Linked DNA regions of Caenorhabditis elegans. The protein of the gene in region 1 purifies or fractionates together with the protein of each later gene. This does not show direct contact. Each region holds a gene or a part of one and is shown on either strand. Other genes may lie near its edges.

Evidence for each region. The genes of interacting proteins can lie anywhere in the genome.
Region 2: the proteins of npp-5 (region 1) and evl-18 fractionate together in Caenorhabditis elegans (co-fractionation; one large-scale study listed by BioGRID). This does not show direct contact.

Annotation. Positions count from the first base shown.
Region 1 is NC_003280.10:11,596,221-11,601,367, forward strand, and holds npp-5 (Nuclear pore complex protein 5), read right to left. Parts: upstream 3,590-5,147; 5' UTR 3,586-3,589; coding exon 3,480-3,585; intron 3,424-3,479; coding exon 3,311-3,423; intron 3,263-3,310; coding exon 3,056-3,262; intron 3,004-3,055; coding exon 1,980-3,003; intron 1,934-1,979; coding exon 1,485-1,933; intron 1,304-1,484; coding exon 1,058-1,303; intron 1,002-1,057; coding exon 705-1,001; 3' UTR 547-704; downstream 1-546. UniProt on the Caenorhabditis elegans protein: Involved in kinetochore assembly and chromosome segregation during embryonic mitosis.
Region 2 is NC_003281.10:3,729,123-3,736,622, reverse strand, and holds evl-18 (Cell division control protein 45 homolog), read left to right. Parts: upstream 1-1,583; coding exon 1,584-1,643; intron 1,644-1,692; coding exon 1,693-1,752; intron 1,753-1,771; exon of another isoform or gene 1,772-1,776; coding exon of another isoform or gene 1,777-1,949; intron 1,950-1,999; coding exon of another isoform or gene 2,000-2,189; intron 2,190-2,249; coding exon of another isoform or gene 2,250-2,330; exon of another isoform or gene 2,331-2,368; intron 2,369-2,479; coding exon 2,480-2,573; intron 2,574-3,052; coding exon 3,053-3,540; intron 3,541-4,266; coding exon 4,267-4,725; intron 4,726-5,115; coding exon 5,116-5,323; intron 5,324-5,374; exon of another isoform or gene 5,375-5,446; coding exon of another isoform or gene 5,447-5,515; intron 5,516-5,673; coding exon of another isoform or gene 5,674-5,766; exon of another isoform or gene 5,767-5,848; intron 5,849-6,120; coding exon 6,121-6,319; intron 6,320-6,365; coding exon 6,366-6,522; 3' UTR 6,523-6,983; downstream 6,984-7,500. Other genes in the region: F34D10.3 (Serpentine Receptor, class E (Epsilon)), read right to left, coding at 1,777-1,949, 2,000-2,189, 2,250-2,330; F34D10.8 (uncharacterized protein), read right to left, coding at 5,447-5,515, 5,674-5,766; F34D10.9 (CPSF_A domain-containing protein), read left to right, coding at 7,053-7,067, 7,115-7,500.

The DNA of each region.
Region 1 (5,147 bases):
CAAGCGACACGTCCAGCATTGAGAACAGTAAATTTGCATGAGAATATAGAAAAATTTTCTGCGAAAAAGCTGACGTTAAATATACGTTGCGTAGCGGTGAGAATGCAGATAAGGGGTCAACGAACAAAACAATAAGGAGAACACATCGAAAATCAAAAGATAATGAAGAGAACGACTCGCCTTTATAGACATTTTGCCGCCATTTGTTTTAATGAACTCTGCTCTTTCTTTTTTCGAGAACGATCGAAAGATCATCAAAACACAGTGTGTAGTTTGATGCCGCGGGTCTCGCAACGCTCCGGTTGAGACAGGTGTGCGCCTTTAAGTATACGGTAGGTGAGAATCCTCACTGAGGATATTTTCAGGCATGGAAATTTTCAAATTAAATGAAGAAAATATCTAAATCAAAATTTAAACCATCAACCTCTGCACAGAAAATTTTTCCTTTCCAAATATACATGGTAGTCTTGCGTCAGATCGGTAATATAGATCTTCCGCAATCTGATGACCTCTTCTTGAAGAAGATCTTCACGTGAAACCCACAGAAATCAGAAAAATTTGTTATTTTCAAATACTGCACGGATACAATCGTGTCTGTGAAAGATCGACCGGAAATTTAAAAAAAATGAGAAAGAAGTCAGAAATATAGTGATAAAAAATGGTAATCAAAACAGGTATCAAACAAAAAAACAATGAAATAAAAATTATTCGACTTTGAGATTGAGTTCTGCGTAGAAAGCTTTGATGAAAACCATCCATTCCTGATCGAGCCCGAGGTCATTATTGAAGCTTGTGAAGAAATCGTTGAAATTTGTGGTATCGTCGAGTCTCACGGCGGCTTGTGCAAGAAGGATGAAGAATTGCGGGAGGAAGAGATTCCGAATCTCCTGAATTTCTTTCCGGTGTACACGCATTGGATCTCCATTAGCACGTGGGCTCAAAAAGTACTCCGGGCGCACACCAATATTGTTAACCAGCCCACGGAGCATCGGAAGAACAGTCTGAAATTTCAATTTTTTAAAATTTTTTTCACAACAATTTATTCTAAAAATCCTACATCTAAATGTTGTTGAACCATTCCAACTCGCGTATTATGCTCGGCGGCTCTCTTTTTGAGCACCTCTTCCCGCAGAGTTTGCTCAGCACGAGCTCGGACTCTCAGTGAAGCTTCCCAGTCAGCAGCTGTGGTGTTGTCGAGTCGTTTGACTCCTCCGATCATGGAAAGCTCATCATCAGTGATCGGTGTGTACTTGAACATGAGCCCAAGTTTCAGAGCAATAGTGATCATGAAGTTGTTCACATCCTGAAAATTCGGATTTTAAAATGGCCAATATGAAATTGAATATTATTCAGCAGCGAAATTTTGAGTACGGGGTCTCGACACGACAAATTTTTGTTCAATACGAGACGGTTTGCACCTTTAAAGATTACTGTAATTTTAACCAGTGGTTAAAGATTCCGCTGATTTGGATAAGAAATCATACCACGAAAGAGCAGAGCCCATAAAATTCCAGAGCCGCGTGTTCGATTTTATTAATTGCCAGCTGCGATCCAGGTTTTTGCTCAAACAGGGTTCCATCAGTGATCAGTGAAAGTACAGTTGCTTCATTTTCAACAGCTTGTGACAATAGCTTAGGAACTTCGAAATGAAGCGCTTTTCGAATAATTTGCCTAATTACAGACTCGTCAATCGGTGTCGACAGCATCACTTTACGAACTAGTCGATTACATTCTTCAAGAGCAGCCAGTGCAGTCTCTTCTCCACCTATCAAAAGCCAATGCCAGTGATCAATCTGCTCTTCCAAAGTTACAACCTTCGTTTTGTCATCTTTTCTGATTTGCTCAATAAGTGTGCACGCACAGCGTCCGAAATCAATGTCAGATTGTTTCAGCGACTCAGCCAGGATTTCACGTTCTTCATCAGAATCGACAGCTGAAAAGAGAATTTTTTTAAAAATCATCATCAGTTTTTAAATTACCTTTCATAGTCTCCACAATCTCTGGAAGCTTCATATCTTCTGGGAGGAATCTTGAATAAAATGCAGCCATTTTCTTGTGTGATGAGGTTCCACTGCGTGCACGAAGATCATCGAATCCAAGAATAATTACAGCATTTCCATCGTCATTTGGTTCGAAACCACTCGCATAAGAAACTGCGACGAGGTGGAAGAAGATGTCGAGTGCGAGCATGTTCACTTGACAATTTTTATCATTTGGAACAAATTCTCCGACTGTTTCATTTGCGAACTTGTACAGATCTTCAATGTCATCATTGAGCATGTCATCGATCACTCGGAGTAGGATGTATACTTCTTTGGTACGATCAGCCTCTGATCTCAGCTCATCTAAGATTGATTTTGAAGTTAGTGGAACGTTGAACAACGTCGAAATAGTTTCCTGTGTCATGGCTCCCTCGGCGGCAAGAATTCTTGCGAGAACTGCAGAATTTGCATATGCCCATACTTTTTCAATCACTGACTTTCCAGCTTTTAGCATTGGTTGGATATTCCCACGAATCGCAGAAATCAGCATCCAGTAAGCATCATCTTCGCTCCCCTGCGATTGTTCTATCAATTTCTGTGTCATCTGGTAGTACTTTGCGCGTCGAGATCTTTTATATTCCCCAAAGTTCTGTTTAGATGCCTCTAGTGGAATATCAAGTGGGTTCCGGAGCATCGAGTGAAGCTGAAGTTGAGCTCCGATCGCTCCCATTCCTAGATCAATGGCTAAATTCGCAGCTTTGGAAGTTTCTCCACTTCGAATTAATTGGAAGAAAACGTTCATCGCCATTTGCTCGAGAGCTTGATCTTCTTTGGTACCAGGAGCATCTGGATCCAGTGAAGCATCTTTTGGAGCATTGGCTGCTCCAAATGTTGGTCGTTTCAAAGCCATCATTGAATTGATTCTAGAAGATTTGATTCCTTCGAGTTTCCGAACTTTGTCTCCAAGACCTTTTTCATATTGCTGTTCGCTGATCGCTTTCTCACTCCAAAGAAGAAGAGCCTAAAAAATTAGAAATTATGTGTTTAATTGAATAAAAAGTCTAAGATCTTACATAAATCCTTCTAAACTCCACATCTTCTACAACTAGTTTGCTAAGCAAAGAAACTTCCACAGTCTCATCATATTCATGAGCCAACGCGGTATAAATTGAAAGAACACTGGCGATTTGCACGGCTTCATTCGCGTATTTTTGTGAACTGGCGGAATAATTAGATCCTGCAGGAAGTTTTCGAGTCTGCATTTCTACTTCTGAATAGATCTGAAAAAATATTACATTTATCAGAGGCCTTTTTCAAGTGAATCAAACCTCATGAAGTCTGGTCCACATAAGTGGCGAGATTTGCCCTTGAGGAATATCGAACTCTCCGAAAGCCAATGCACATAATTCGTGGTACAGTTTTTCTGAGAGATTTGTGTGAACTGCAAATTATATATTTTTAAAATAGTTTTCCTTTCGCATCGAGTGTTAAACTCACAAATTGTAGTGTATTTGAAAGCGGTTTCATTTTTGCGCGCGATTTCATCGTTAGAGTCGTCGAAGGAGTTGGAAGAATTGTCCCCCGAAGCGAACAAGTCTGTCATTGTGCTAAAAATATTTTTTTAAAGGAAAATAAAGTTTTAAAAACTACATGAAACAGAAAAAAAAATCGTTTTACACGACGAAAACCCTTCGAAATTTGAAAATTTTTGCTTAAACGAAAATAATGGTAGTGCGCTCCATTGAGAACACAATGCGCGGACTTTCAAAAAAGAGGGGTTTATTCAGGTTTTCATAACTTTTTTGAAACACAGAAATGGAAGAAATTGCAATTTGAAACTTTTCCGAGTAGTGCCTTTCATCTTCAAATTGTTTAATAAGGTGCAATCAGCTATAAAAAACAAAAATGAGAGCCGACGTTATGGGTTGATGAGAGCTCTTATTTTAAAGCACATCGTATTTTTGCGTTCCAGTAGCAGCTATCCTCTAAATCATCTGTTTTGTGTGCATTGTGACTGTCTATAAATCGATCAATACGTGCTCCTACGCTTGCGTTTGCTACTTACATAAGGATATATTCTTTGAACCACATGTTTTGTGTGAATTGAGACTGTGTATAAGAATGTAAGGAGGAGAGGGGCCGTTCGTATCGTTCGTCTTATGCACAGGCTCAATGCACACAAAACAGGGTATATTGTATACTCAAATTAGAGAAAAACATATGGAGAGGACAATAGACCAAAGTTTTGATTTAATAACTAGAATGGAACCATTTCTGGAGCACTATTTCGTACGAAAAGCTTGCGGCTTTGTGCAATCAATCTCCTAGGACTTTGGCGGCCTGTCCATTTTTGTTATGTTCGAACAATTGAAAAAGTTATTTTTTTAAAAATTCAGGAGAATTCTATAAATTATTTAAAAAGTTATATTCAATATGTTGGACTGCTTTCTGTTTCTAGGGAAGAAACCTACACCTCCTCCTCTAAAAAGTCCTTATAAGGGGACTATAGACCAAAAAAAAGATTCCTTGTAAAAAAATGTTTGCCCTTTTTTGGTACTTCCTTCCTTGGGCTTCTCAAGTGTAATCCATCACATCAATTACACCAACCGACAAGAAAACCAAAAAAAAAAAACGAAAAGATGCTAGTTTTGCATGGGAGCCGTAGTGCACCTCTTCTTTTTCGTCTCTCTTTGTTTCTGCCTCTCCACTCCTTCACCCACTATTTCCAGCTCACCGAGCCATATTTAGTAGCTTCATATCTTTAGTTTATCAATCATATTTGTTAAAATTAATTTCGAGTATTTTCATCGCTAAATACCTGCTTTTCAAAATCGTCGCCACCTATTCCCAAAATCGATCACCGGATTTTTTTCTGCCGACTTCAGTTAAAAGACAACACAAAATGCAATGGTAAAAGGTGAGTTTGGAACAAGTTCTGCAAAAAAAACGAGAGAGAAGACCCCCGAAACTTGATAGTGTGGGAGAGGAGGAGCATAAGAAAGAAGAAAAAAAAGATGTATTGAATTTCGAACATCATGTTGAATTACAACAAAAAATACGCAGATATTTTCAACTTTTTGCGTTTATTAAAAAATTAATGCATATTTTCAAAATGTTTAAAGCCGCTGATAAACGTTCAGATTTAAATTAATGAAAATTTTTACA
Region 2 (7,500 bases), on another chromosome or scaffold:
TGCCGCCGTCAATTGATTGAGCTGAAAATTAGAATTGTGTTGAGAGCATATAAGGAAAAAAGAAAATTAAGACGGAGAATTGTGCAACTGAAAATATTCGAGAGGACCCTATTGTACACGTGGCATATCCATAAATATGTGCCACGAGCTGGGGAGCGAGGTTAAGGTCACGTTAAACATTTTATTAATTCGAATTTATATGGCAGGTTTCATAAAATTAAGTTGTTTTTCTCTTATATCCTAGACTTTTTAATAAGGTAAAAATCGACGAATTTGTAGCTTCCTTTAAAAATTAAAAATGTTATAGTAGATTACAAAAATGGCCAGAGTAGAGCGCATGTATGAATATTCAATGGTGGCGTCCGTGTTTTGTGTAAAATATTCTCATTGTGTACAATATTGTAGGAATACACTCAAAACAAATAGTGTTGCCTCGACATTTGCAATTTGAAAGTGTTACAGCACCCTTTTGATTTTATGAATATAGAAAAAATGTGCGAGAAAAATCAACGAGCGTCCCCGATTTGCCAATAAATCGTGGCAAAAAGGAAGAAAAACGAATAGATACGTGGTATGAGCGGAAGGAAGAGTTCGTTCGTCCTTCCAAAATAAACTGAGCTTTCTCTCTCTTCTACTCGGTTTTTATACCCGCTTTTTACGGGAGTGGATGGGCGGTGTGAAGCCAAGTGACGCGCCGCCGGTGCGTCACATGGCTTTTCCCAGTAACACGTGGTCTAGATACGAGCGGCTGCAGGGAACAAAGAAACATGCCAGGAATTCAATTAAATGCATTTGAAACCGGAATTTTCCGACCAAAAATTGTTTAAATTATTGAAAACGACAGAAATTAAATATTTGAATTTCGCCTAAAACAAAACAAAACATTTTCGTTGCGAGACCCACAACTCCAGAAAATGCGTGCTCCTTTAAACTAATTTCGCTTTTTCAACTGAATTAGCTGAATTTTGTGAATAATCAAAGAAAATAAGGAGGACTCCTTCCCCCGGAGGGTATTTGAGAGAAAAAAACAAAAAGTTAAATACAGTAACTGAAAAAACTCAATAAACGTAGATATTTAACTTACGAAAGAAAAACCTCCTCGCCTTGAATGTAACCTACGCGTGTCTGTGTTCATAAAATCCTGATGTGTATTTATTCATATTATTTTCTATGAGTTTGAAATTGAAATACAAAAATTTGTAAATATTGTATAATATTTACATTTCTGACCAAATCTACTCAATCCTCCTCCCCGTTCACCGCGTGCGCGATGACGTCTTCTCCAAACACTCCAGATGACGTAACATACCACCATTCTGTCATTCAGCAACAGCACATTATTATTTTCAATTGAATTGCCCACTTTTAGATTTATTTCTGTAGATTTTTCGGTTTTCAATTCAGTTTTTGCGAGAAATCGAGAAATGCAATTGCGCCCTGCCGCACTCTCAACGCGCGAAGCCATTAATTTGAAACGAACGCATCTTTTTTCACACTTTTCTGGTGATTTTCTCGAGATTTTTTGCTTATTATCTTTTTGAAATTAATAAAAAATAATTTTAAATCAATATTATAAATTTCAGATGATCATCGAAGACAACTTTCGGCAGGAATTCTACAATAAAATCAAGAAAGGCGATAAAGTGAGTTTAAAGTCATTTTTACTCCATTTTCACGTTATTTCTGCTTCAGAGTGTGGTTCTAATCGTTTCAGTCGACACGGATGCATTATGCACGACGATGATTTTGACGGTAATAATGCAATTTATTTATAAATCAATGATTATTTATTTTCTTTTGAACGGAGTAAAGTCTCCGCGTGAGATCGACAAAAATTATTCCACAAAAGATCCAAAATGGGATGAAATAGACAATATATGGAATTGAAAGTGCAAATGTCAGCCGAATTGCGATGAGAACCTCGAAAACCACTTTGCAAGTGATGCATACTGAAAATCGATTTTTTTTATTCAAAAAATATATTTATTTTCGTACTAACCGAACTGTCCTGTGTAAACATTATTGAATGGATACAAAAAGTTCCAGAAAGCGCGGATTCCGAGGTTTTGCTGTCCATTTGTGCGTAATTCGGAGTAAATGTTGTAAAAGAGCACTCCGAAGCACGCAGCGTCTGTGGCAAAAACTATAAGACAAAGGAAAATGTACTGTTTGTCGCCACTTGAATTATCCTGGAATTATTGTCTCCGGTTTATTGAAAATATTTCAATTTATCTTTCATTTCTGCTCACCAAAAACAGAGCCAAACAAATCGTGGTGGCAAGAAGGTCAAGGAAGACACAGATCGCTTTTTGACCCGATAAAAGTCGCATATTCATAAATGAACTCAATTTTATTCACATAATATTGAGAAAAATAGTCGATGGAGACAATAAGAGGGGGAGGGTGCAGAGAAAGAGAAGCGTACGAGAGAGCGCGGTTGCTGTGAGAGCATTAGATAGAACAATTATTCAAATTTCAGCATCTGCTACGCTGTGATGACATCCCATTCTCGATTCTTGCAGTGGAAGGATGGAGCTCGGTGGAGAAGATTTTTGCAGATTCACAAGAGCAAAGTATGTGAGAGAGTCGAAATATCCCCAATTTTTAATTAAAAAATAATTCCGTCACCGTTACCACACGGAAAAGTGGCAAAATTGGAGTAAAAATACAGTATCCGGTCTCGATACGAAAGATAGTACTGTAATTTTGAGCTCCCGTTTTTGCGCAATTCATATCGATGTGTTAGATTTATGTGATTTTATTTTTTAATATATAGTGTTTTTTTTAAAATAAACACATATTTTTAACGAGAAAACTATGAAAAATCGATAAAATTGCTCATCAACGAAAGTTTGAACCTACAGTACTCTTTAAAGGCGCACACTTTTTCGCAATTAGCAAATATTTGTCTGTCGAGATCCGGCGGAACTCTATACCGCCATATCAATTTCTAAGAAGTTTTATCACAATTTTCGGAATTTCGGAGCAAGATTTCCGCTGTTTCCTTTAATAAATTGATAAAAAAACATTTTTTATTACATTTTTATTACAGAATGTCATTATATCCTAATCAATTGCGGAGCAACACGATCCCTGACACGACTACAAATCCCGCCGGCTTCAATAGCATTTGTCATTGATTCTCATCGACCATTTCACATTGAGAATGTCTATGAAAATGGTCAAATTCATTTATTGGCAAATCCAAGTGAAATGAGCGAATTGCAAATTCCTGATCTTGAATCTGTGATTCGAGAGGATTCTGACGATGAAGAAGATTCAGATGAAGATGAAGATCAAGAGTACATCTCATATGAACAACGAATGGAAAAGATTCGACGGAAAGCGATTAAGAGGGAAGAAATGCAAATATGGGAAAGGCAGAGGAGGACAATTCTCTGGAGATACTACGAATCGACGTGGTTCAGCTCGCCGAGCTGTGTGACTTTACTCGAGATGGCCGCAGAAATGAACAGAGTATCTGCTGAAACTATGTGGTTTACTGCGGTCGGGTTGAATAGTGCGATGGCTGATAAATTGGTAAGTTTTAGGTGTGAAGGCTTTGAGCGAATCAAAAATTTCGGTTTCCTCTGAAAAATATCGAAAAAAAATTTTATGACGAAAGAAAAACATCGATTTTTGGCTCAAAAAATGATGCAATTTATCGGATCGATCTTTAATTTCAGGAAAATACGATGGTACAGTAGTTCTTAAAGGCGCATACTCTTTCAAAATCCAAAAAAATCGTGTAGAGACCAAGTTTTTAGGGCAAAAAATGGTATTTTTGGGTTTTTTCAAAAATAATATAATCCAGACACAAAATTTTGCGATTTTTGCGCCAAAAATACGGCGCCCGAGGTATTGACAACTGCTGAAAGATGTGCGCCTTTAAAGAGTACTGTAGCTTTAAATTCTCGTTGTTGCGAAATTTCATCGTTTTTGACAAATTTTTGAATGAAAAAAAAAATTGAATACATTTTTTATCAAAAAAAACTATAGATAATCGATGAAAATTCCGCGACAACGAAAATTGAAAGCTACAGTAAACTTTAAAGACGCAGACATTTTTATATTCCACACAAAGGTGTTGTTTCGAGACCTATAGCATTTCAAATTGATTAATAATTATGTTAAAACACCCCAAAAATCTACAGATTTTGAACAATTTTCAGTAAAAAAATTGGCAAATTACCAATTATCGCTAAAATTGCACTATTACACAATTTAAAAAGCCATAAAACAGTATTTTATACAACTTTTTTTCAGATCTCAATTGAAATGTACACCCAAATCTGTGTAGATCGAATGCGTCCGTTTGTCCATCGATTTATGCCAAAAAATATAGTGAATCAAGGAAAAGTGGATGATCTCTTGCATATTACATTTGGCCGAGAACTACCACTTGCTCTATATTCACATTGGGATTTGTTCAGTGCAATGATGGTCAGCGAGTATTTCTCGATTAAAACAAAAAATTGGACACAAAAAGGAGATGTGAATATTCGACATTTACTTGCTCAACTTGGAATCACTCTTCACGAAACAAAACAAAAATTCGAAGCTCTTCCAACGGAGCAACGGAATTTGGTGGTTGATGTTCTGGAAAAAGAAATGGATTCATCGTTTGCAACATTTTTTGGAACTCTTGGATATTGTGGGAAGTTGAGTGCATGTGATGTTGCAAGAGCTGTCACTTTACGATTGGAAATGCCGAAAAGTGAAACTGTAAGGGTTTTTTTTTGTAAAAATTTATATTTTTAGCCATTCTCTTCCAATATTTTAAATTAAAATTCAGTGATAAAGTATAGAAAAATATTTAGTTTATCTGAAAATAACTATTAATTTACTTGGAACAACTGAAAAAGTTCTCAATAATTCTCTGATTTTTTCGAGCAATTTTCAACTTTCAGATAACTTTTTGCACTCTTTAAACAATTAAAAGTGCTGAAAAATTATCTGGAAGTTGAGAACTCTCGGAACAAAATCTACCAGCTTTTAGACAATTATTTGAGCATTTCTCCAATTGTTCCAACTGAAATAAAAGGTATTTTCAGATAAATCAAATATTTTTTCTAATATTCTGAAATGCCAAAAAATAAAAATATATTATTCCAGATAATGAATCGTTTCCGATCCGGTCAATCAATCCTCAGATCATCAATAACTGGAGAACGACAAGATCGCCTGAATCTCAACAACACGTTCACTTCGATCTGCCAACGAACGCTTCAAGTGTCGTGGAAAACCGTCGCGGCGGCTATTAATCAATCGGAGATTATTCCAAATGGGCCGTATTATCTATTCTCGTGCTCACGGTCCATTGGTACGGATTTTAGAATCATTTGGAAAAAGTCAAATCGGAGAAAATAAAAACTCGATTTTTAAGCATTTTATTAGCATAATCAGAAGATGAAGTTCGATGGGGTCATGTGTTGTGGCTCGGCTATCACTTGGCTCCGCGAGTAGATCCACCAGTTGATTTTCCAGATGCTTCCTCAGCGACGCGAGCCTCTCTCTGTAATTTATTTTTGATGGGAAAATTAGTTGAAATTTTGAATTCAGAAATCCTCAAAGCGGTTTTTGAAAAAAACTCAAATTCGAATTCCCGCAATTTTTTTGATTAAATTCTGAATTCCCCGAGAAGCTAATGTTTCCAAATAACAAAATGCTTACCTTTGCAACCTTGCAAGCTCTGGCATGAGCCATTCTCTCCACCTGCATCTTCTTCTTCATTCGCTTTGGCATCAATTTCTTTGCGGCAGCCATTGCAGACCTTCTTCACAAGTTTCGATAACTAGAACTAACGAGAACTGATTTTGTTTCAAAAAGTTGAAGGAGAGTGGGAAATAAAAAAATCAGGCTTCACGTTTCTCGCGTCATTTGTTTTGAATTTTTTAAATAATTTCTTTTGAACAGATTAATTTTTCGCGTGTAAAAATCTTTTTGGACATCTGCTCTTTTGGTCTGGGGTCTTGGTTGGGGTTTTCAGAGAAAATCAGAAATTTTGAAAATTAATAAAACATTAAATTTTTAAATCAAATTTTGTTGATGTTGATGGGAAAAAATTGAAAACTAGTGAGAAAATTTAGTACTTTTATAGTCTAAAAAATATATTTCCAGACGAGGATATGGTCGACTCACGTCATTTTCTCTACAACACCGCCGGATTCATGATTCGCGCCTTTGCCTCAATGAAGAAAGGACGTACAACAAAGCCGCTAATCGCAATGTTCCCATTGACTGGAGAGAGTGCTGGATGGCTTGTAGTCACTGGAGTTATGCCGATTGCCACAATTTATGAGGATTCACTACTTAAAACGTAATATTCGGCCTGTAATTTTAACTTTAAAATTGATTATTTTCAGGTGTATTGGTCGTGCTTTCGAACGAGTAAAGAAAATGACTCCACCACTTCGTATCGTTGATGACTACTTTAATTCTGATATTATTCGCTTGAAATCTGAAGATCGTACTCGTTTTATTGATTTTCTGCAGACTGTCTTTGAGGGCACATCCAACTGATCTCTTACAGGCGTTTCTACCTATTGCACCATCTTGTTCCAATGCTTTTAATGAAAAAAAAAGTCTTAAAATATAGAGCATTACTTAATTTATCGGAAAATAGCTGAAAATGGCTTGGAAACTGCCATTTTTAGGCGATTTTCCTGCGTTTTCTGTGATAAATCAAGTGATTTTCTATATTTTGACACTAATTTTTAATGAAAAACATGGTGCATTAGGCTATTTTGTAGAATTGCCTCCTACTGTTATAATGTTCAATCTTTCTCATACACGGGCACACTGACTTTCCGAGTTTAATTTTTATTATCAATTTCTGAAATTATTTCCCCTATTTACTTCTCCACTTCTCATTTCATTGTCACATATTCACTTTATTTTGATCAGTTTTCACGTGAACATATTGTAATTTTTTTTCTGATGATGATTTTTTTCTGATGATTGATTAAATCAACTTCCAACTTCTTCAAACTAATTTATTTTATATTTTATCTAGTCTCAAATTTACGCACTTATCATTTTTCTACTCGAAAATGTCTACGCATAAGGTATGTTCGAGTTGGCCGATTTTCCTGATTAATTGAGGATTTTCTAGCAATCATATTTTGTGAGTTCAACACCGAATGGTCTTGATGGAGCTCAATATCTTGCTGTAAATCGTGATGGAAGTGTTCTTTATGGTCTTAAAGTTCGCATCGTATTGAGCATAGTTGAAGCTCCGGAACAAGCTCCAGAAGTCATCACTACAGCAACTGAAAAGTCTATCTGCAAATACCACGTGGCATCCGGAAACACAAAAACGTTCCAACTTGACGACGATATTGATCCGCTTCTTCTCGCTCGAATTATTGAATTTTATATGATTTCGGATAATATTGTCGCGCTGATTTCTTACGATTCAGAGCATTTTCAAGTTATACAGACACTTATTCATCTGGAACATTCGAAAGAATGGGCTCAGACGATTGTCGTGAGAAGATT